Linked DNA regions of Arabidopsis thaliana. The protein of the gene in region 2 interacts with the protein of the main gene of each other region in a pairwise test. Each region holds a gene or a part of one and is shown on either strand. Other genes may lie near its edges.

Evidence for each region.
Region 1: the proteins of AT2G33250 (region 2) and MAPR2 interact in a protein complementation assay, tested with the Arabidopsis thaliana proteins (one large-scale study listed by BioGRID).
Region 3: the proteins of AT2G33250 (region 2) and AT4G01410 interact in a protein complementation assay, tested with the Arabidopsis thaliana proteins (one large-scale study listed by BioGRID).
Region 4: the proteins of AT2G33250 (region 2) and AT3G26370 interact in a protein complementation assay, tested with the Arabidopsis thaliana proteins (one large-scale study listed by BioGRID).

What each region holds. Positions count from the first base shown.
Region 1 is NC_003071.7:10,606,567-10,611,091, reverse strand, and holds MAPR2 (membrane-associated progesterone binding protein 2), read right to left. Parts: upstream 1,676-4,525; 5' UTR 1,646-1,675; coding exon 1,343-1,645; 3' UTR 1,192-1,342; downstream 1-1,191.
Region 2 is NC_003071.7:14,094,894-14,100,088, reverse strand, and holds AT2G33250 (uncharacterized protein), read right to left. Parts: upstream 2,721-5,195; 5' UTR 2,636-2,720; coding exon 2,231-2,635; intron 1,906-2,230; coding exon 1,411-1,905; 3' UTR 1,338-1,410; downstream 1-1,337. Other genes in the region: AT2G33255 (Haloacid dehalogenase-like hydrolase (HAD) superfamily protein), read right to left, coding at 115-249, 375-435, 527-569, 961-1,294; XID (myosin XI D), read left to right, coding at 3,175-3,231, 3,522-3,644, 3,740-3,883, 4,057-4,202, 4,292-4,448, 4,558-4,616, 4,707-4,866, 4,984-5,133.
Region 3 is NC_003075.7:576,215-581,294, forward strand, and holds AT4G01410 (Late embryogenesis abundant (LEA) hydroxyproline-rich glycoprotein family), read left to right. Parts: upstream 1-1,813; 5' UTR 1,814-2,093; coding exon 2,094-2,777; 3' UTR 2,778-3,073; downstream 3,074-5,080. Other genes in the region: AT4G01400 (oligomeric golgi complex subunit-like protein), read right to left, coding at 1-1,029; CBL5 (calcineurin B-like protein 5), read right to left, coding at 3,824-3,860, 4,087-4,199, 4,285-4,365, 4,453-4,505, 4,634-4,742, 4,816-4,875, 5,023-5,080.
Region 4 is NC_003074.8:9,653,914-9,661,325, reverse strand, and holds AT3G26370 (O-fucosyltransferase family protein), read right to left. Parts: upstream 4,647-7,412; 5' UTR 4,441-4,646; coding exon 4,132-4,440; intron 3,957-4,131; coding exon 3,906-3,956; intron 3,814-3,905; coding exon 3,723-3,813; intron 3,553-3,722; coding exon 3,476-3,552; intron 3,352-3,475; coding exon 3,263-3,351; intron 3,170-3,262; coding exon 3,050-3,169; intron 2,875-3,049; coding exon 2,758-2,874; intron 2,662-2,757; coding exon 2,518-2,661; intron 2,430-2,517; coding exon 2,306-2,429; coding exon of another isoform or gene 2,243-2,305; exon of another isoform or gene 2,218-2,242; coding exon 2,026-2,217; intron 1,945-2,025; coding exon 1,585-1,944; 3' UTR 1,381-1,584; downstream 1-1,380. Other genes in the region: AT3G26380 (Melibiase family protein), read right to left, coding at 1-28, 110-171, 261-435, 516-773, 858-1,011, 1,107-1,186; AT3G26360 (Ribosomal protein S21 family protein), read left to right, coding at 4,953-5,248, 5,354-5,363; AT3G26350 (proline-rich receptor-like kinase), read left to right, coding at 6,596-7,412. UniProt on the Arabidopsis thaliana protein: Glycosyltransferase involved in the biosynthesis of pectic type-II arabinogalactans.

The DNA.
Region 1 (4,525 bases), 3.5 Mb from region 2:
GAAGAGCAGAGCGGCTTCAGAAGGAAGAGGATAATTGAGCGGCGGAGCAGCGGCGGCGGAGGTCCATCTTGTCTTGGAGCATGGAGGGGCGGCTTCCTCGGAGATCGTGCCCGGGAGAGAAGACCTAGGGCGAACTCTCTTTGGTTAATATTTAAGATCGCCTCGTTCTTATTGTTTTGCGACTTTGTCAATGACTAGAGAAGCGCAACAACTTTGTATATTTGCTGCTCAGAGCTCTGAGGTATGGATAGCGAATAAGATGGAGAGTACGAAGCCATTTCATAGAGCAAGTTCCTGACAGTGTCGAAATTTGATGACCGCTATCATTTAGGGTTATGTTTTGGGTTGAGTTTCTTAGTCGACATAGAGAACAAAGTTGTAGTGTCTTGTAATCACCCCGGGTTCTCCAACAACGTTTTACAAATTGTGGGAAAGGATAAATACCTACCTGAGGATCAACATGGTGCCGAATCTCCTACCCCTCCACGTCTCCTCATTTATGTTCTAGGTTTGGTTCAAATCCAGCAAGGTAGCTAGTTCTTGGAGGTGGTGGTTTGTGCATTTTTTTATTTAAAATGTCAAAATAATATCTAAGTTAGGATGCCTCTCTCTTGATAAACAAGCATAGCTATAGGCCACAGCCACTACACACGACACAAGTCAACTCGAGCCAAGAACAACTCTACCCATGAACAGCTCTCCCTCAAACCTAAGACTTGGCGTTAAAGCAACATATTAGTCGCAAGAACGCCATGCCGAACAGGGCCGAAGTCATACAAGTGATGATAATAATTTAGACCGGGAGAAGTAAGAAAGAATCAAAGAAGACACACATTAGCTTCTATGAATTCTGAATGTTCATCATAACTATATTCTTCCAAATCTCATAACGCAAAAGACTAAAATTAACAACAACTTGGAACTTGTAAGATAATTTACACCGAATCCAAAACTACCAGTAAGTTTGGTGTTGCTCAGATTTCAGAAACCATCAGTTTTTCTTTCACCAGACACAATTAGCTCCAAGTATTTGCAAGATATGAAAGACACAAACCAATCTTTATATCCTCTCATCAAATACATATGAGACTTAAAACTCCTAAAATCCTAATCATCACAACAAAGTAACCTTTTTTTTTTGGTAAGCACAACAAAGTAACCTTAAGATCAGAATATGAAGACCACTGAGAACACGAAATCCCCGATTTATTTCATAGATAATTTGGTACTTATGGTAATTGTATCAAAACGATCAGATCCAAACACGAAATCAGAAAACACACAACACAAAGATCCTCACACACAATAGTTACATAACATAGTGCAATCTCAGAAGAGAGACCTAAGAGACAACACGGCCAACGACAGGATACTTAGCTTCAAATTTGGTCTCCCAATCATTAAGAGTATTGATCTCTTTCTCAGTGAGACCTTCAAGAGAAGGAGACACATCTTCTTCGTTCTTACTCATCTTACCCAAAGCTCTGCTCGCGTCTTTTCCGGCGAACATCGAGTAATCGCCTCCGGAGCCGTAGAAGGATTTTCCGGTGGTGACATCGAACACACGGCCTTTGATTGCGACGTAGATCGGCTTTGATTCGTCGGTGCCGTTGTATTGGCTTAGCTGCTCTGCGGTGAATTCCATCTTTTTCTTTAAAGCTCTGATCAATTGTTTCTGGAAAGAACCAAATAAAAGATAGTGAGAGATATATAACAGAGGATTTTTTTAAAAAAATTATAACTGAATAACTTTTTTTTAATAAGTGGAACAACTTTTTTTGTGTCGGTAATAAGTGGAGTAAACTTTATTCTTCAGATTTTTACAAGGAATATCAAAAAATATTTTATTTTTCTCTAATTAAAGTCGATAAAAATTCCAGAAATGCTTAATCTTTCAAGGAGCTTAATTTAAGCTGCTTAAACAACTTCGTCGGGTTTAAAGGACGGCTTTGGGAAAAGACAATTTAATTTGAACTAATTCCTAAGATAGAACACATTTGTATGTTTATTCCTACAGTAGAACACATCTTTTTTTTATTACTCAGATGTTTTCAGTTATTGTGTAATTACAATTAACACCCCTAATTAGTTTTAATTAATTATTATTATTTAATTCGTTTTTAACTAAAAATTAAATGAAAAAACAGTGATTATACATGTCATTATTCCATGTCATTACCATAATCCACGTCATTAATTATCTCCAAACTCCATAACGTTTGGGTTTCTTATTTCTTAGCTTTACTGTTCATCATCTCCCAAAAAAAAAAAAAACTGTCGCTTTCTTCCACTTTCTCTCTCGACGGAACGAAATCGATTTCTTTCGCCGTTTTGCTCTTTTCTCGTCTGTTCCGGCCGAAATTCAGACGCCGGAGTCGCATTTACGTAAGCGCGAAGTCACATTCGACATCTAAGTTCCGGTGAGTATCTTTCAATGAAGTAAGACTCTGACATCTAAGTTCAATCTCAAGTGATTCCCGTCACTGAAATCGTTTTCCGATGCGTAACGATGGTTTTTAAAGCTGGGTTTTAACGTCGACGTTGATTGACATATGGTGGCCGATTTCTTAGATCTATTTGATTTGACGGCTGAGTTACTGTTTGTTTGCCGACTGATTTATGATTTATCAATTCATCCGTGTCTGAGTTTTTTTTATGCTGTGACTGAGTTATGGTTTAACCTTACATCGATGTCTGAGTTTCTGTTATATGACGGCTGAGTTTGTTTATGTTATGGCTGAGTTTCTGTTTTGATATAGCTGAGTCTGGTTTATGTTTTAACTGAGCTGTTGTTATGTTATGGTTTGACTGAGTTTCTGTTAAAATATGGCTGAGTTAGATTTATCTTATGGCTGAGTTATGTTATGTGTGGCTGAGATAGGTTTATGTTATGACTGAGTTATGTTATCTATGGCTGAGATAGGTTTATGTTATGACTGAGTTATGTTATCTATGGCTGAGTTAGATTTATGTTTTGCCTGAGTTATGGTATCTGTGGATGAGTTTGTTTTATGTTATGACTGAGTTATGGAATGCTTACGGCTGATTTATGGTTATACAGATGTCTGAAGACCAAGCAAGGGAGTACCCTCCAAGACTTTACCAAGAGGGGGATTCTAATCTGGAGGGTAAAGGCATTAATCATAATATAAAGCTGGGAGAGTTCCCTGCAATTAGAGAATCAATAGGAGAAGAAATATGGGCAGAACTGAAAGAGACAGAGCTTGGATTAATTGCTAAGCTTGTTGATAGTCATTTTCTCTGGTCTGGTAAGACCGTACATTATCTACTATGCAGACAGCTGAGAATACTGAAGAAGGAGCTTTGGTGTATCGTGGCTGGTAAACCCATCCGGTTTGGATTGAACGAATTTCATCATATCACTGGTTTAAATATAGATGATCTGCCTACAGAAAAGTTTGAGCCTGAAGCTGACTACAAAGCGTTCTTCAGTGAATTGCGTGTGCCAACCGGTGAAGGTCCTAATCTAGATGAACTTAGGCAGGGCTTAGTAACGTGCAGAGCTTGGCCTACTGAAAAACGTAGATGGTTTGGGTTATTGACTCTTCTATCCATTGGACTTTTTGGCTTGCATACTAACTCTAGGATACCATTTGAGAGTGCCAAAAGAGTTTTCGACGACGAAGCCATGAAGACTTATCCATGGGGTCGGGCAGCATATGAAGCCCTTGTCGTTTCTATAAAGTTGCTGAGGCCTATTGGCAAGACGTACACTGTCAGTGGTCTGGTTTTCGTGTTGCAGGCTTGGGCGTATGAGTCAATCATCACCATCGCTGAGCGTTTTGGGAACGCTGTTAACGCGGATGAGATTCCGTTGCTTAGATGGGGTGGCAGCCGTACCCGTTCAACTATAGAATCGGTCATTGCTGAAGATATCAAAGCGAATGGTGGTGAGGTACGGTTTCGGCTCTGTTATGTTCTGTTTTTTATCAAATATTTATGTTACGGCTGAGTTAATGTTTTATTTTTCTCTGTGAAGGCTGAGTTATATTCTTTTTTTTTGGCAAATATGTTATGTGACGACTGAATTATGTTCTATAATGGCTGAGTTATATTAAGTGACGACTGAGTTATATTAAGTGATGGCTGAGTTAAACATACTGATGGGTTTTATTATCTCTCCTGTTGTAGCTGCGTGTTCGTACAATGGTTGAAAAGGCTGAGTTAAGCGAGCTGTTTCATTTTTGGCCAGACCAATTAGAAGACCCAGCACTTGATAACTTGATCCAAGACTTACACGAGGTTAAGCTTGTTAAAGGTTATTGGGATGTGAAGACGAGTGAGAAGAAGAAGAAACTCTTAAAAGATAAAGAAGCGGAGGTGTCTGAATCTCCCGCTAAGAAACAGAAGGTCTCTCACGGTGAGCATGTTGATTCTCTTGAGAAAGATGCAGAAAAGAAGAAGAAGGAGAAGAAGAAGAAGAAGGAAGTAGCTGTCGAATCTGATGAGGACGAGGATGTTCGTTCTCGTGAGCAGGATGGTCAGGGAGACCAGCAGTCGCTCG
Region 2 (5,195 bases):
CTTTAAGCAATGGCATGAGAAGATCCATTGTTTAAGCTTCTTTCATTGCATTGCTTATCGATTTGCTATGGAGAAAGGGTTGACCAAAGGCTTGTCATCATGTCTGTCACTCACATCATCTTTTAAGCTGTCACCAACCATCATGACTTCATTAGGTTGGATGTCCCATGTAGAACATATATGCAACAGCGGGTCTGGGTTTGGTTTATATGGACGAAACTCTCTGCCTAGTGCTGGAGAAAAGATAACCTATACAATGAAAAATAACTGTAAGGAACTGCCTCAGATTTCTTCTCTCTGATAAAAAAAAAAGAATGATCCAGCTAAACCTATCTCAGGCAGCTGTCAAAATGTCTTCAATTCAACATTCTTACCTCAAAACGTTGATGGAAGATGTCGATTGCCTTTTGAACATTGCGTGTAATTAGCCCCCTCCTATAAAGTAAAATACAAAATGTAACAACAGTCAAGTTATCTGAACAAGAAAACAAAAAATCATAGACAGAAGTATCTGAAAACCACAGACTTTATCTTTTTGGAATCAAGGAAGCCACATAGTTCAGCAGTACCTGCCACATAAATGATCACATATCAGAAGAGAATTAAACCTCTAAACGCCAAAGAAACACAGTACTCCTTCTAGATTTTCAACTGCTAAATCATCTTATAGAACTCAACAGCATAAAGTCAATGACCAGTAAAGGAATGATCTCAAATCGTGATGTGGGGCTCTAAGACAAAAGTCAAACCTCCGTTAGACCATAAAGTCTTCACTTTTAACAAATGTTCATTTTATCTTTCAGCCTTGAATTTGCAATCTTTTCTCATCTTTAACTCTACGAAATTCTCAATCTTTAACCCATTTTACGATAGATTATCAGACGAAAACCCAAATCCTTAACACTTCCTCAGCGCAAACACAAAATCAAAAATAAAAAAATAAAGCAGATGAATCCGTACCAGGCATGATTTGAAGCTTATCTATTCCTTGTTTCTCATAATCAGCAATGATTTCATACGCCTTCTGCTGTTTATCAGGACTCCACGACTCAATATGATGCAGAATATCAATCCCACTAGGGCTCTCTGCTTTGATTCGCTTGTAAGCATCTTCACCAAGAACAGCTCTATACATTGCGGCGAAATCGATGACCGGAACAGTCAGGGTTCCGTCCATATCGAATACAACACCTCTCAGGCGAGTTTTAGCGTTCGTCGTTAAATTCGCCATGGAAATCGAACAAGAAGGTCTGAGAGTGAGAGAAATAAATGTTCTTGATAAGAGGAAAGTCATGGAAAAGAAATGGTGATGCTCAAACTGAAATTGAGGCTCATAATTATTCTCTATTTTTAACCAATTTCGGTTCGGTTTAATTTGAACAACTTGGTTTGTTTTGGTTTAGTGGTTTTTCACTTGAGCATGTTTGTGTATGTGCTTAAGAATGGAAACAAAGACACCAACAATCTCAACAATAATGGTTCTGCTGCCTTTTCTCTTCTTACTCTCTTCCTCTTCGGTAACGGTTTCTTCTTCGGTTCGCTTGTTGGCCGTTCGGGAATGGTGGTACCAAGCCCGTCTAACTCGTCCCACCCACCAAACTTAGAAGCCATTCCAGCTGAACTACGGTTAACTCCACGGCCATTGACATTGTTTCTAACGGTTGATGGGTTGTATCGAATCCTGCTACTACTTCTCTCCACTTCTTCTTCTTCTTCCTCTATCCCGAATTGATTTGCTATTGATGTACCTCTGCGTTTATCCCAACCAATCAACTTCTGGAACGCATAAAATAACAATGATGGCCCGATTGCTACGGCTAGTGACACGAGGAAAGCTTTGGGTCCGGTGCTGAAGAAAAGCGATAAGATGATGAATGGGAGGAGATATCCATACGATTTGAATGCCTACAAAGTGAACATAAACCAAACACAATAAAGATCCCACACCAACAATAAGAGAGCAAAATCTGGTGTATGCAAATAAAATGCAGCTATATATCAACAAAGCCGTTTCTCTTATCTTTGAGCAGAAAGACACTATCTAGTTAGAAATCAAAACTAGTTCAGATTCACTACACAACGATATTAACTGTTTCTTACATGATCACCATAACCATTACCAAAGAACAATTTTGATACTTTAATCAATCAGCATTTTCAATTAGCAGTAGTAGATTCCCGGCTAATTTCATAATTAAGGCTTAAAAGATGCATGATTGAAACTAATTACCTTTAAAATCCAAACATTATCTACAATTTCCTCTAAGATCTTCCACAGGTCAAAATTAGCACTACCAATTCCACCACCACCATCATCTTCATCATCATCGTCTTCAACATTATCTTCAAAAAGTTCTTCCCATAGCTCCCGCCGCTTCCTTCCCCTTTTTCCCCTTTCCGTCAAACGGTATCCCCTACCGTCATCAGCGGCGGCGCATATTTTATAGCTGAATCTCCGGCGGTTCAGCTGAATTATCTTCGCCGAAGTTACTCTAGAGCATGAGGAAGAGAAACAGAGGAGTTGAGAACGAGAGGGAGGATAAGATCTAGGGTTGTGGAATCGCCAGACATGGAGGTTTGAGAAACTAAGATAAGTAGAAGCTCGCGGTAACGAAAGAGCTCCTCTATCCGCCATTAACGTCTGGCGAAGCGAGAACAGTGAAGAAAATGCTCTGCTCCATGTATAGACACACTCAACTTGCGCCACGTTGTCATCATCTCCTCCATTAGAATCGAATACTATAAACCGGCTTGGTCCAGGAGAAATGTTAGAACTGAAATCCGGTATAATTGCAGGGGTAATTTCGAGATCATCAAATGTCTGACCTGACACGCCTACGTGGATTCTCTTTTCTCTTCCTTTTTCCAGAAACGAGGGAGAGAGAGACGAAGCATCAAACAAGGCAAAAACAAAAAAAAACCAGGAGAGAATATTCCGAGGGAAAACGCGAGAAAATTTCTTACGTTCTGCGAGAATCTCCAGCTTTCCTGGGGAAATATTGGAAGGCAAAAGCCGAAGGGTTTAAGGTCTCTGTAATCGTCGGAGAAATTTGAAATATCGTCCGTAAAACGTGAATGTAGTCTTAATCTTCCGCATTTATAACGTCGATCAGAGATTTTGAAGCTAGTAGAGAGAGAGAAGCGTTTTGTGTTTGATTTATGGTGTTTGGATCCATGGTGTGGAAACACCAGCTGATTGGGTTCTCAGGGATTTTTTCTAATGTTTCTCCCGTTGGAAATCTTTATTCGGGATCATTTCTAGGAAAATCAGACCAGATTTGGCCGTGATAATGGTACGAGTCTCTCTTCTCTTATCTGCATTGCGATTTCTCCGTGTTCTTCATTTTTACCTTTTTTTTTTTATCTTCTGTAACCATAATTGCTATTTGAGCTGATTTTTATGTTGCCCCTTACATTTTAGATTTCATTATAAGATGTGTCTAAAAGAGAACAAAAGAACCAGCTAATGAAGCTTGACAATATTTTTTTTATTTGTTTCTAATATATTCTACTTTAATCAGGCTTCAGTGAAGGTAACTGTGGGGTCACAGGTCTGGGTGGAAGATCCAGATGAAGCCTGGCTAGATGGAGAAGTTGTGGAAGCTAACGGTCAAGAGATCAAAGTTAATTGCCAAACCAAGACGGTTAGTCCCTTTTCTCCAAAGCAACGAGACAATGTGTTAGTTCTTAAGGTACCTTAAGAATACATTGCTCATATTTGTGATGCATTTGTTTGTAGGTTGTGGCAAAGGTTAATGCTGTCCACCCCAAGGATCCTGAGTTTCCTGAGCTTGGTGTGGACGACATGACAAAGCTTGCGTATTTGCATGAACCAGGGGTTCTTCTCAATCTAAAAGCCAGATACAATGCAAATGAAATATATGTACGCTTCAGCATGTAACTCTTGTCAGTTTTCCTTCTTTCATTACACCCACTTATGAATTCTATGATTATCTCTACCATTGTTTTGCTGAAAATTACTGCACAGTTATAGCAATATCATTAATATTTCTCTGAAGTGTTTGTAGCAAGCTAATTTCTTCTTGATGGTTACAGACATACACAGGGAATATACTGATAGCTGTGAATCCCTTTAAAAGATTACCCCACCTATATGGAAATGAGATAATGGAGCAATATAAGGGCACAGATTTTGGCGAGTTAAGCCCACATCCTTTTGCTGTTGCTGATTCTGCATACAGGTAATCTTTTGTTGCATAGATGAAACTTTAACTAATGTTGCACTATCATTTTTTTTTGGGCCTCACCATCATCAAGAATATAAATTTAGAAAAATGATCAACGAGGGAGTAAGCCAGGCGATCTTGGTGAGTGGAGAAAGCGGTGCTGGGAAGACAGAGAGCACAAAAATGCTCATGCAATATCTTGCATACATGGGTGGAAAAGCTGAGAGTGAAGGACGATCTGTCGAACAGCAAGTTTTGGAGGTAGATAGTCTGTTTACAATGCATCTACATTCTTACTAGAGACAGACTCACTGAGTTTCTCTCTGTAGATATCTTCTTATTCTTCTCGTATTATGATCCTGTTATGCAGTCAAATCCAGTTTTAGAAGCTTTTGGTAATGCAAAAACCGTCAGAAACAATAATTCAAGGTGGAATGTCATTCACATTTCTTGATTTTTCAAGTTTATGTATGTTCTTGAAGTCAACCTTGACATATGTAGGCAAATCTCATATTGCAGTCGTTTTGGTAAATTTGTGGAGATTCAGTTCAATCATATGGGAAGAATCTCAGGAGCTGCTATTAGAACATATTTGCTGGAGAGGTCACGAGTTTGTCAAGTTTCTGATCCTGAAAGAAACTATCATTGCTTTTACATGCTTTGCGCTGCGCCAGAACAGGTAAACATGGTCCCTTGTATGTTTACATCAGGTCGAACATATGAAGGCTCTGTATGTCCAGTGCTTGGCCATATATGGGATTCATACTGAAAACTAGCTTCTGTTCTGAAATTTCAGGAAACTGAGCGGTATCAGTTAGGGAAACCAAGCACATTTCACTACCTAAATCAATCGAATTGCCATGCATTGGATGCAATTGATGATTCCAAAGAATACCTAGCTACGAGGAAAGCTATGGACGTTGTTGGAATTAGTCCTGAAGAACAGGTACCTTTTGTTTTTTCATTGACATGATCAGCAATGAGGATAACTCTTCTTACATTTTACTT
Region 3 (5,080 bases), on a different chromosome or scaffold from region 2:
TTGATCACACAATCCTCCAATCAAAGTCCTATACGAGACCGAATTAGGCGAGCAACCGTTAGACAACATATCATCAAGAACTTTCCTAGCATCCATCGCACGATCTTCTCTACAAAACCCGAGAATCATCGTGTTGTAATGAACAAGATCAGGATTACAACCTTTTAACTTCATCCTACATAGAAGCTTATAAGCCTCTCTAAGCTGTGTCTTCCTACACAAACTGTTCAACAATGTCGTGTAACTTAACCTATCAGGCACGAATCCTTTATTCAACATATCATCAAGTAATTCCATAGCACCATTCACTTGACCTTTCCTACAAAACCCTTGTATCAGAATCTTATAAGAATCCACATCAGGGACAACATCTCTCTCAAGCATTTTACCAAACAGTTGGTATGCAATACTCAAATCATCATTCAAACAAAAAGCTTGCATCAATAAATTGTAACTTCTCGTGTTAGGCATTACTCCATGAAGCCGTGAACTCTTGAAAAGCTCAAAAGCTTTCTGGAGATAACCTCTATGGCTTACGAGAACATCTAGAATCCGATTCAGATGTTTTGGCTGCGGCGTGAAATTGAACTCCAGCATTTTGTAAAACGTACTTAAGACTTTCTCCGGTAACTTTGCTTCTGCGTAGACTTTGATCAGATAAGTGAAAATTTCTCCGGTTAATGGATAACCACTTGATCTGTGTTTGGCGAGAACGTCGTCGATAAGATTGAAATATCTACCACGGCCGAGTTTGAGAATGAGGATTAGATGAGAAGATCGAGAATGGCGGAAATTGGGCTGTTGAGAAGCATAATCGAAAATCTCCTTGGCGAGGAGAGGATCCGATTGCGAAGCTATGAGCTTTTGAACCCGAGTCGGAGACCCGATTGGGGATTTAGGGTTCGAGACAATCGGTTTTCGAGCTTCATGTTCAGATGAAGAATAGAACAGAAAACGCGAGGATGTCGATAACGGAGAAGTTAAGTGGCGAAAAACGGCGGCGAAGTCGTAGATCGGCCGGCGAATCATTTGTCGGAGTTTTTTTTTAATAAATCGGCCGTTGGAAGTGAGACTTGTATCAGTCAGCAAATTATCAAATATCTCTCTGTACACAATAGTTTTAGTGTAGGCCCAATTTTATAATGGGCTTATAATTGAGGCCCAGGTAGCATCCACAGCATTGTCGGTGACTACAGTGTCGGTGGTGCGGTATCTCAGTTAGTGTGATTAAATAACAGATTCTTCTTAAATGTGATTATTATTTATTTTGGAAGCTTACTAATAATATATGGAATTTGGTCAGAAGTATTGTTGGAGATGTGGACATAAAAGACTTGTACTTTTATTTTCTAAACATTAGAACAAATATGACACATGTGGTATCTAATTAATTTATTATTAATTGCTTTATACAGTTGATAAAGAATTGTGAAATATGATAATTTAATTTTCTTTCTACATAACCGTATTCTGGCATGCAAACAGATATTAGGTTATTGCTAACTTTGACAGGCCGTAACCTGATAAATTTCATTCTAATTTTTTTAAAAATTAACACGGCCAAAAAGTGATAGTTATCACGTTGCACGAAACCATAGTTGTCACCAAATAAGTCAATCATTGACAACAAAGTATTTGATTATGTATAGCCATATGTATACACGTTACATTGGATTTTTCATTTTTAAAAAATTCATCACTCATCAGATCCGTCACGTGAACGGTTGCACCGAGATTTGGAGTCTTTCGAAAGTACTTCTCTATCTTATATTATTACATTAAGTATTATAACAAAATAAAATCACAATGTAAAAACAGTAGTAATTTACGGCTACTTTATAAAAAGATTAGCTTTAACACATAATTACAACTACAAGCTTTCTAAGTTAATAAACAATTAATAAAACTGTACTCTAGAAGACTGTTTACTCTTATTAACTAGAAAAGAGACAAAACCTTGCATCTACTTATCTTCTTTCTTCTCCTCCTCCTTCTTTAGAGTCTTCACTCTTCACCGAACCCTCTGATTCTCGTATAGACACACACATACCTATACATACACACTTTAACACTTATATCTGTAGAGTATAGCCATGGGAGAAGGAGAAGCAAAAGCAGAGCACGCAGCCAAAGCAGATCACAAGAACGCTCCCTCCGCTTCTTCAACGCCAGAATCTTACTCTAAAGAAGGCGGAGGAGGCGGTGGAGATGCTCGCCGCGCAATCTGCGGCGCGATCTTCACCATCCTTGTCATACTAGGTATCATAGCCTTAATCCTTTGGCTCGTCTACCGTCCACATAAACCACGTCTCACCGTCGTCGGAGCCGCCATCTACGACCTGAATTTCACAGCGCCGCCGTTAATCTCAACCTCCGTTCAGTTCAGCGTTTTAGCAAGAAACCCTAACCGGAGAGTCTCCATTCACTACGACAAGCTCTCTATGTACGTAACGTACAAAGATCAGATCATAACACCGCCGCTTCCACTACCACCGCTTCGTTTAGGACATAAATCTACGGTTGTGATAGCTCCGGTGATGGGAGGCAACGGTATACCAGTCTCGCCGGAAGTAGCTAATGGTTTAAAAAATGATGAAGCTTACGGCGTCGTTTTGATGAGAGTGGTGATTTTTGGGAGGCTACGTTGGAAAGCTGGTGCGATTAAGACTGGACGGTATGGATTTTACGCCAGATGTGATGTGTGGTTGAGATTTAATCCATCTTCTAACGGACAAGTTCCTCTTCTCGCTCCTTCAACTTGTAAAGTTGATGTCTAGTCTTAATTTTACTTCGTTATGTTTTCTTTTTTAATCTTTGTGTTTTAGAATTGTAATCTTTTTTTTTTGTGGTCATGTTAGTGATGAGTTTCGTCGAGTCTAGTGTTAAAATAAATTAAAAGGCATAAGCCAAAAATTATAAGTACAAGTATATTACTAATTTTATATTTTACTTGTGATAATTATTTTGTTTCTCTGTTGTTGGACCTGTGGATGTTAATTAATGACATTTGACAATACAAATGTGTTGTCGCTAATAGCGTATCTTGGCATATGGTGAGTTCATCGACACAACAGCTCAGAGTGTTTGATCAGACATATGGCATCTTCAGGCAAATCTCATTTTGGTTTTATCATATATATATTTTTCCCCCATTATTACGGAACTATTTCCTCACGATTATAATTAAATACTTAGAATATTACTATGCTTTTCTGTTTTCCGATTCAATGATATTGTTTTTTTGTAAATCTGAATCGGACGTTAGGAGTCTTCTGAATATAAGTTACATTTTTTGAATGAAGCATCCGTTTAAAACGAGTGACTAAAATGATCGTGACTCCACAAGTCATCGCGTCAAATGTAAAATTTTCATGTGAAACAGTGAAAGCGTCAAATCTAAATAATATTGTGGATGATTGTTGTGAATTTGATTAGTTGACCTGATTCAAAAATTTGATTGGTATATCATGTCAATTTTTTCTCTTTGGTTTTGGCAACTTATATCATGTCCAATTTCTTTTTGTGTTACCATTTTTCTCGAATTTTCACACGTTTGTTCTTTTTCTTTTTCCTCTTTTCCTTTTCCAAAACCCCATTTTGTCTTCACGAACCGATCTTTGCTTTTAAGTTTTCATATCACAGCTTTAGCTTTGTGGTTAAAAACAATTACTTTCTATCCTCGTTAAATATTAAAGATTTCTTTCGATAGTTAATATGTTTATATAATAATTAACCTTCTATATTTCTTATAACAAATTACCTATGTGATTTTCGGATAAAAATATTTTTAAACAAAAACCTCTAGCAAACACCTCATCTGATTTTACCGGAGAAAGGTTGGGAAAATCCTCGGAATGTCCCTGTACAATAAAAGTTAATTTTAGAATAATTATCTCGATTTATAAAACAAGAAAAATAAAATAAAAGAAGATAATAGTAATATATGCATAAACACACATATATAAAAGCTGTTTTTGAAAGATGTATATATATTACTTTTTTTGTAAAACGAAAGATGTATCTAAAACATGCAATTTATCAGCGAATATTAAGAAAATGGTTAGGAAAAACAAACAAACGAATTACTTCAAGAAAGGGATAGTCATGTTCTTTAGTGTCAAAGGATAGGTGGCAACAAAATTCTCCCATTCTTCCAAATCTATTATCCCATCTTTTTTCCAATCGGCCTCTTCAAATGTCTTTGCCAAATATAAGTAAACAAAAATAGTAAGTAAAATCACTATAATGTTAAATCAAGCTCATAAACTTAAGCGTTATACACACCTTAGACACGATAGAATCAATGATACTCTCGGATAGCATAAGTTCTGATTCCTCTAGAACGTCTATTATCATCTCTTTCACCTATAGATTTCTCCAAGTCGAGGAAAACCGTCAAATATAATTAATCATGACTTTTTCTTTTTTTTGAGACAAAGTTTACATACGTACCTCCTCCGGTTCAATGAATCCAGTCTCACGAGTATCGTATAATCTAAATGCAACTGTTTAATTTTAAACAAGTGATCAGATGTATTTGTGGTTATAGTTAATAACATTGATCTCTAGCTATATAGAAAATAATAATAACATGGAATAAATGAATAAACACATTAGAAGTGATGAAGCATACATATGGCCTTATCTCTTGGTGATGAGTTTGGGTGAAAAATGTTGAGTGTGTGTACAAACTCTCCAAAATCTATAGCCCCATCGTTTCTCATATCGAATAATCCAAAAATCTGCATATTTCAGAGAAACAACATCAATCGAAGTTTATTTATTTATTTCGCTTAATATAACAAATTCAATTACCCGTTCTGCAGAAAGACTGCGCTTTTTGGTATTCTTGATCAAGATAAATTGAAATTTTTCCTGGAAAAGCCAACCAAATTTGACATGACAAAAGCACAACTTTTCTATAACTAGCTAGTATAAAATTTAGATGTTATATTATTCACATTTTGTTGACCAAAAAAAAATTATTCACATTGTGGAAGAAAAATTAGTTTGGACTCTAACTTTGGTCAAAAGATTGTCGTTGCTAAGACAAGAAGTGAGTTTGATGAACAATCCATGC
Region 4 (7,412 bases), on a different chromosome or scaffold from region 2:
AAACAGGCCGATCAAGCTCCTTTAGAACCTGCGACAAATAAGAACAATGTTTCATCTCTATGTACCTCTGACTTTAACCAGAAGATTGGTAGTTATCACAAATATGTACCTCTGACACATAAGTTATCTCCTCTATATTGAAGTCAGTGCCAAATACGCAGTCATGTTTTACTAAAGACCAAGAAAGTGAGACAAGATTGAGATAATCATATATCGAATAAAGTTAAAGAAGGTTACGGAAATGAAGTCGATTCTCTTACTGAAATCAACGCCCCATTCTGCATATTGACGATAAAGAGACCTCAAGAATGCTTTTCCTGCACCTAACTTGGTATTCACACTCATGAACCCATGCGACATCCAAACACAAGCCCTCTCCTTGATCCCAATATCTTTCGCTCGCCACTGTCTACCTGATTCTTCATAAGCACCTCCCTTCAACCATTAAAAGATTCACTTGTTGATAACTTCCAAACAAACTTCATAAACTCAGAAAGAATCAATCAACTCAATACCTTAACACTATCCATAACGAGACTATTTGCGTTATAAGCTTGTGTGCTGATTCCTCCCATAACATGAATCCCAAACTTCAAACCCATTCTATGAACTTTCTCAGCAACTTCAGTGAAACCTTTACCGCCTCTAGAAGATGGCCATCTACCTGGATCAGGATGCAATCTTCCCCATTCATCAATCACATCAAACCCAAGAGAATCCACATAAGCTCCTTCAACTTTCTTTCTATACCAAAGGTAATCCACCACAACATACTGTATCCAAATCAACACACACAAACACAAGCAATTAAAAACCTAAACTTTTACATTCTAAAGGATAAAGAAACTCACAATTACCTGATAACCATGAGGAAGAAGACGCTTAGAAACAATTTCAGCACTCTGCAAGAACTCAGCTTCAGAGATAGTCCAACAAAAGGAATCGTACGAATTCCATCCTCTTGGAGGAAAGCTAGCATGTTGTTGCCTCGACCTTGCTTCAATCGATAAACTGAAAAAGACGAAACTTTTGTGATTGATCGATCACTCAAACACCACCCACTCAAAAACCAAAATCAAATTCAAAAACCCAGTGAAGCGGAGTACCTAAAAATGGATAGATTAAAGATGATGAAGAAGACAGTGGACCGGGTCGACCCGGTTTTCTCTACGGATAGTCCGGTCATAGAGATGAGAACTGATTACGATAGCTTCTGATTTTGTTTTCCTCTTTTGTTGTTGAGAACCTGAGAGTAAGAGAGAAGACAACACGCAATGGTTGTGTTAATGGCGGGTACTATTAGAGAGCGTGACAAAAAATTAAGAATTGGATTAGTAACCGTTGAGCTAATTTTCTTTTAATTAAAGTTTAGTGCATCAATTTGATCAAATTTAATATAAAAAAGAAACTTTTTTTTCATCACTAGGAACTTTACATAATATCAAAATGATTACAAAGATGGTAAATGAAGACTTCAAAGATTTGAAAGGTCAAAAAAGAAGAAGAAGAAGAAGAAAACTACGAATCTCTATAGTTTGTTGCTCCTCATCAGACAAAATCCAAGACCAAACAAAAGCATCATCATCAAGCTTTACACATGCATGGAGTGAGAGGATTTTCCCAAAGATCATAGTTAGGGAAAGTTTCTTCAGGTAAACCGGTTCGTGTTTGATGGGTTACAACTACATCTTCCACAAAAGTTGCCCATCCCATGTAAGGATCCCCAAATGATTTCGACATCAACCCTTTATCCGGTTTGATTGATTTCTGGCGATGCCCCATATATCTACGCGCTCCGATGATCAGTTTTGCAAAGTTTCCACCGTGTGTCATCACAAATACATCTGATTTCAAGCACACCAAGAAATCTAGAGCCGCAAGACTTGTAACGTGTTTTCTAAACGTTGTTAGTTCCTCTTTGCCTGCTAAATCCTCCTTTGTTACCTGATTCAAAGGACAGTTAATGTGAGAGACAAGTTTGTGCTGATTCATCAAAGAATTATAAGAGTCCGGTGTTGTGCTTACCAAATTTGGGAACATGTTTCTTAGTGGAGCCATACGGTTTTGACCGCCATAGACTTGACCAGATGCAACATAGATTTGTGTTTCTTTTGGATAGCCCATTGCACGTAGGATCACAGCAACTTCTCCTGGCTCAAGAGGGCATCGACCTTCTTTGCGCTTCTGCAAGGCGAGCTGCCAGAGATGGGAACCATTCTGCAATATATGTCAAGAAATTTCATTAAGGTAGCGGTTGAGGTTGTTTAGCCACCAAAAGAAGTTGACAACTGCTTATAAATGTCACCTTGAAACGCCGAGGCCATTCCTTTTGTCTGTATTCTGCCATTTTAACTTTCTCTTCCCTTGTCCCCACAAAATCACAGAACGATAGACCAACCATTCCTTTCTCGAATCTAAGATGAAGAGCCCTATACAAGAGACATGGGTATAGTTTTAAGTTGATATAATGCATATGGTCCTAAGTTATAACAAAGTCGAATCTCTGATATGGCATACATATATGGATTTGGATTTCCAGTGCGATTTCTCATTCTAGAAACAAGTGAATCAGCCATCTGCTCTATCTCTGGAAGAAATTTGAGAGCATGATAATTTACACGGCATCGTAATCTGTTGATTTCTTGAGGTACATTGTCATACCTGAAAAAATTTCCAGCATCACAAGAATAAATCATTCATTGTTTATAAGACGATTTCCAAAATCTGAGCACTAAACTATAGGAATATTGGTTATACCCAAGTCGATCGACAAAAGGCTTCAAGGCCATTATCTTCTTCTCCTTTATCCGAGGTAAAACATTGTCAATATAAAATTGGGCTGCTGCATATTTGGGAATGTTTTTGACTGTTCTTCTGCAGAAGATAAATAAATAACTTGGTCAACATCATATCTGATTAAAAAATACAGATCGATTTTTAAATCAGAGATATACACAAGGAGCACCCAGTGACGCCATAATTCCACAAGCTAACTTTTGAAATCGTCCAACAAGTACATCATCAACAAATAATGAGTTGACAAGCAAACCTTATACTAGAGAATAGCTCTGCTTTGTCAGTGAACCAGTCAGGTATGTCTCGAACAATTCGGACATCATCCTTCAAGTAATCAATGAAATGATCTACATCAAAAATGTCTTCAAATTTTCTGCAAAAGAAAGTTAACAAGCTCAGTAAACCAAAAAGAAAATAGAGAAGTAATTCAAGATGAAATGAAATCAATATCTGAATATGATTTTACGTTGTGTCTTTCCATATTTGGTCCTGCTTCAGTACTGGTAGAATCAGTGTTGCATTCATAATCTTGGCAACAGCTACTGCGTTGCAGATCTGGAAACAAAAGGGCATGAATTCAAGATTGGACGATGGCAAGAAGAACAACAGCCATTTAGACATTGATCCATGATTGGATAATGGCGAGAAGAAAAAGAGATAAAAGTTGGAAGATACATACAGCAATTCGCTGCTGATTCAAACCACCTTCAGCATGAATGAATACATAGCCATTTGTTTCATTCTCAGGAGGAAGATCTGAAAAAAACAGTTGACACAATCTAATAAGCTAACCAAGGAAAAAGACTTGAACTTTCACGAAAAGACAGATCAATAACACATGACAATGTGTTTCGACGAAAAAAAAAAAATAAAAAAAAAAAATAACACATGACAATGAAAATGACAATGCTCTAGCCCTTCAATACCTGAGATTCCACCAATCCGCCGCTCAGCACAAGGCTTCCAAGAAGTTGTTGCAGATAAAGGATTCTCCCAAGGAGAAGGTGACTCTTTTACCTTACAAATGCAAACCAACACACAATTAAATTTACAGGATTCAAAGCTTATGCATTCAACAAAACACATAACCAAAGTTTTCAAACACTTACATGAGGACAGTTTAGCACAATCCCATCTTTTTTACATAAATAAGGAGCATTCTGCAGAAGATAGACATAGAAGCAATCTTAGTCTGAGAACAATGTCAATCCAAATCCACCTAAATAAACAAACCCCTTTACTCAAAACAAAGCTAAATACTTTTCCAAATCGATTCCACAGTTAGAACATAGAGCCTTGAAGATCTCAATTCCTAGATCGAAGGAAGAGACTTACCAAGTGATTAATAATCCCATAAACTGAGATCAAGCTAGCAATAGCGAGAATCAAAATCAATAGAAGCGAGATTTTATTCTTCTGAGGAGAAACCCTAGGATCATCACCGAAGAAAGGAAACAAAGAGTGAAACCAGATCGGACGGTCTCGATCTCTAGAAGGATGACGTGGGCGACCATCTTCGTCGTCTCCGCCGTTAGGAGAGTGATCGTGTACATGAGGCGATGAAGAATCCTCATCTCCGGCGGCACGTAACGGAGAAGAAGAAGATCGGCTACCGAGAGAGCTCGAGTGCCGTAACTCTGCCATTGCTCGCCTCGGACTAAAAGTCGCCAGCTTAATTTCTATATCCTCTCTTCCTTTTCTTCCTCTTCACTTTCTCTGTAGATAGATACAGTGCTTCTTCAGCTCTACTATGTGGACGCTGCCATTTGAGAGAGAGCTTGGAGATTCGAACACTCCACAGAGAGAGAGAGAAATTAAAGAAGCTTTTTTTTTTTGAAAGGCTTGAATGTTCTTCTTTAAAGTCAATACTCTCTGAATCAAACAGAAGATTAGATTTAAGGATATTTACAAAAACATCCCTATATCTCATAAAACTTACATAACCACCCCTATATTAGTAAATTCTCTGGTTTTTATCTCATTTCCTCCATCGCCTCTTTTTTAACCTAGACATTCTCCATCATCACTCAAATTGGCTCTTTGATTCTCTCCGGCGAGATTCCGACCGGTAAGTCGAATTCAGATCCTATCACTGTCTCTCGTCAATCTCATTTACGTTTTCAGAAACATACTTTTTCAGAAAACAAGTAAAAGAGATGAACACGATAGCGAAGCGAGTTACGGGGTTGGTGACTCGTCCGAGTCTAAACCAGCAGTTGCAGCAAGAGCGAGGGATAAGAGTGAAGGTGTTCTCCAATGATTTAGACAAGGCACTGACGATTTTGCAGAAGAAGATGCAATCGAGTGGAATGGAGAGGCTGATCAAAGGGACTCAGACTCATCACATTAAGAATTCGGAGAAGAAGGTTCTCGCTAGGAAGAATCTTGAACGCAGAATCAAATCCATTGACTTTGCTCGAAAACTCCAATCAATCCTCATCAAGAAAGTCAGGTAATGTTTTCTGATTTTTCTCAAAAGCTTCACATTTTTTAGGGTTTTAATGGTGTTGTTTAGTTTAGTAAGATCTTGCGTATTTCTTATTGTTATTCTTTGCAGAGGTTTATGAGAGCTGAGGTGAAGCAAGAGTGCTGCTATGTTGATCAGTACTAGTATCTGTGTGTGATATAACACAGTTTTACATTTTGAACTTTTGATGAGTTGAATCAATGTGGAATTGGAATTTTGGATTTGATTAGTTGTTTACTCTATGGCTTCTCTTTCGTAAGTTTTCAATGATCTTGAGAAAGAACATCAGATCTTAGGAGTACATGTATTGAAAGTTGTTTCAGGGCAAGTGCGTTGCTTCTCCTGCACTCTGTATGACTGTGTTCTGTGGGTCTCTGTGCTTGAATTGTGTTTCTTGTTCCGGCCATGATTACTCTGAGATTGTTCTGCTTTCTTCGCGTGTAAAGCGTAGGTTAGCTCTTTCCAGGCGTTTACACTTTCATTTTATGTATATTCATGTTACTATATACCATGCCATGCCAAAGAATGGGGATAAGAGATATAGGAAGAACAATTGCACCGAAGATCGTGGAAAATACCTTTTGTATGGGTTTAGTTTTCAGTTTGCTTCCAGCTTTTTTACTAGTATCTGTTTGGTCAGGCTCGATTGGTAGTTGTCTTTGTCAACGTTTGCAGTAACCGGCATTGCAGAGTTGGTTTCATGTTTGATGCTGCAGAAATTGAGCAGAGAACAGAGTATCTACCTGCAGAAGCAACGTGTTTCGCATCAGATTTGCGCTAACTAATCTGCGGCCTTCTTGATCTATGGGAGACATATCTTAACATGTTCATAGTTTACTGACATATTCGACAAGTTTTCGTAAGTTGCTCTGAGAATCAACATCTTTCCCCTGGAGTGAGCTGAAGTAGAAAGATTGACATATTCATGACTGTTACTGTAAGTCCTTAACCCTGTCTCTCCTAAAATCGAGATCTTTTTATTTGGGTTTTAGATAAATTGGACCGAGTAATTACAATTTTCTTAAAAAAACTTTTGAATGAGAAAAAGATACAGAGAATGTTTTTATACTTTTTCATGAGATTAGAAACTGATTTTAATTTTAGTGCAAGGAATCTACAACAAAGATTACTTGCTTCGTGCTATCACTTTCCTTCTTTATTTTGTTTTCTACAACAAAGAATCCTTACTTGAACTTGTCACCAAGTTATTCTCTCCCTCTCTCTATCTCATTTAGAAACTTAAAACAGTTCAAAATCTCTCTGTTCTCATTCTTTCATCTCAAGTCTTACTTAACTTAGTTTCCTTTGATGCTTTTTAGCTTCTTCATCTAAATGTCTCATCATCATCACCATGAAACTAACCCTCATTTTGCGCGAATTCCATCGCAGAATCCACATCTCAAAAGCGGTGGTGCTTCTACCTCACAAACATCTTCGAACCAACCACACATCCCGCCCATTCCGCACCCAAAAAAATCGCACCACAAAACCACGCAACCTCACCCAGTAGCTCCACCAGGAATCCTAATCAAGACTCGTGGTCGCCACCGTGAAAATCCAATCCAAGAACCGAAACATTCTGTAATACCTGTACCATTAAGCCCAGAGGAGAGACTTCCACCACGAAAAACTCAAAACTCATCGAAAAGACCATTGCTATTAAGCCCTGAAGATAATCAACAACAACGACCTCCACCACCACAAGCACCACAACGCAACGGAGGGGGTTATGGATCAACATTACCTCCAATACCCAAACCAAGTCCATGGAGAACCGCTCCAACACCATCCCCGCATCACCGCCGTGGCCCACGGTTACCACCACCCTCAAGAGAGACAAACGCAATGACATGGTCAGCTGCATTTTGCTGTGCAATATTCTGGGTCATTCTTATTCTCGGCGGTCTTATCATCCTAATCGTTTACCTCGTCTACCGTCCTCGCTCACCTTACGTCGACATCTCAGCTGCTAACCTAAACGCTGCTTATCTCGACATGGGTTTTCTTCTAAACGGTGATCTAACCATTTTAGCAAACGTCACAAACCCAAGCAAGAAAAGTAGTGTGGAGTTTAGCTATGTGACATTCGAGCTTTACTATTACAACACACTCATAGCAACTCAATACATTGAACCTTTCAAGGTTCCTA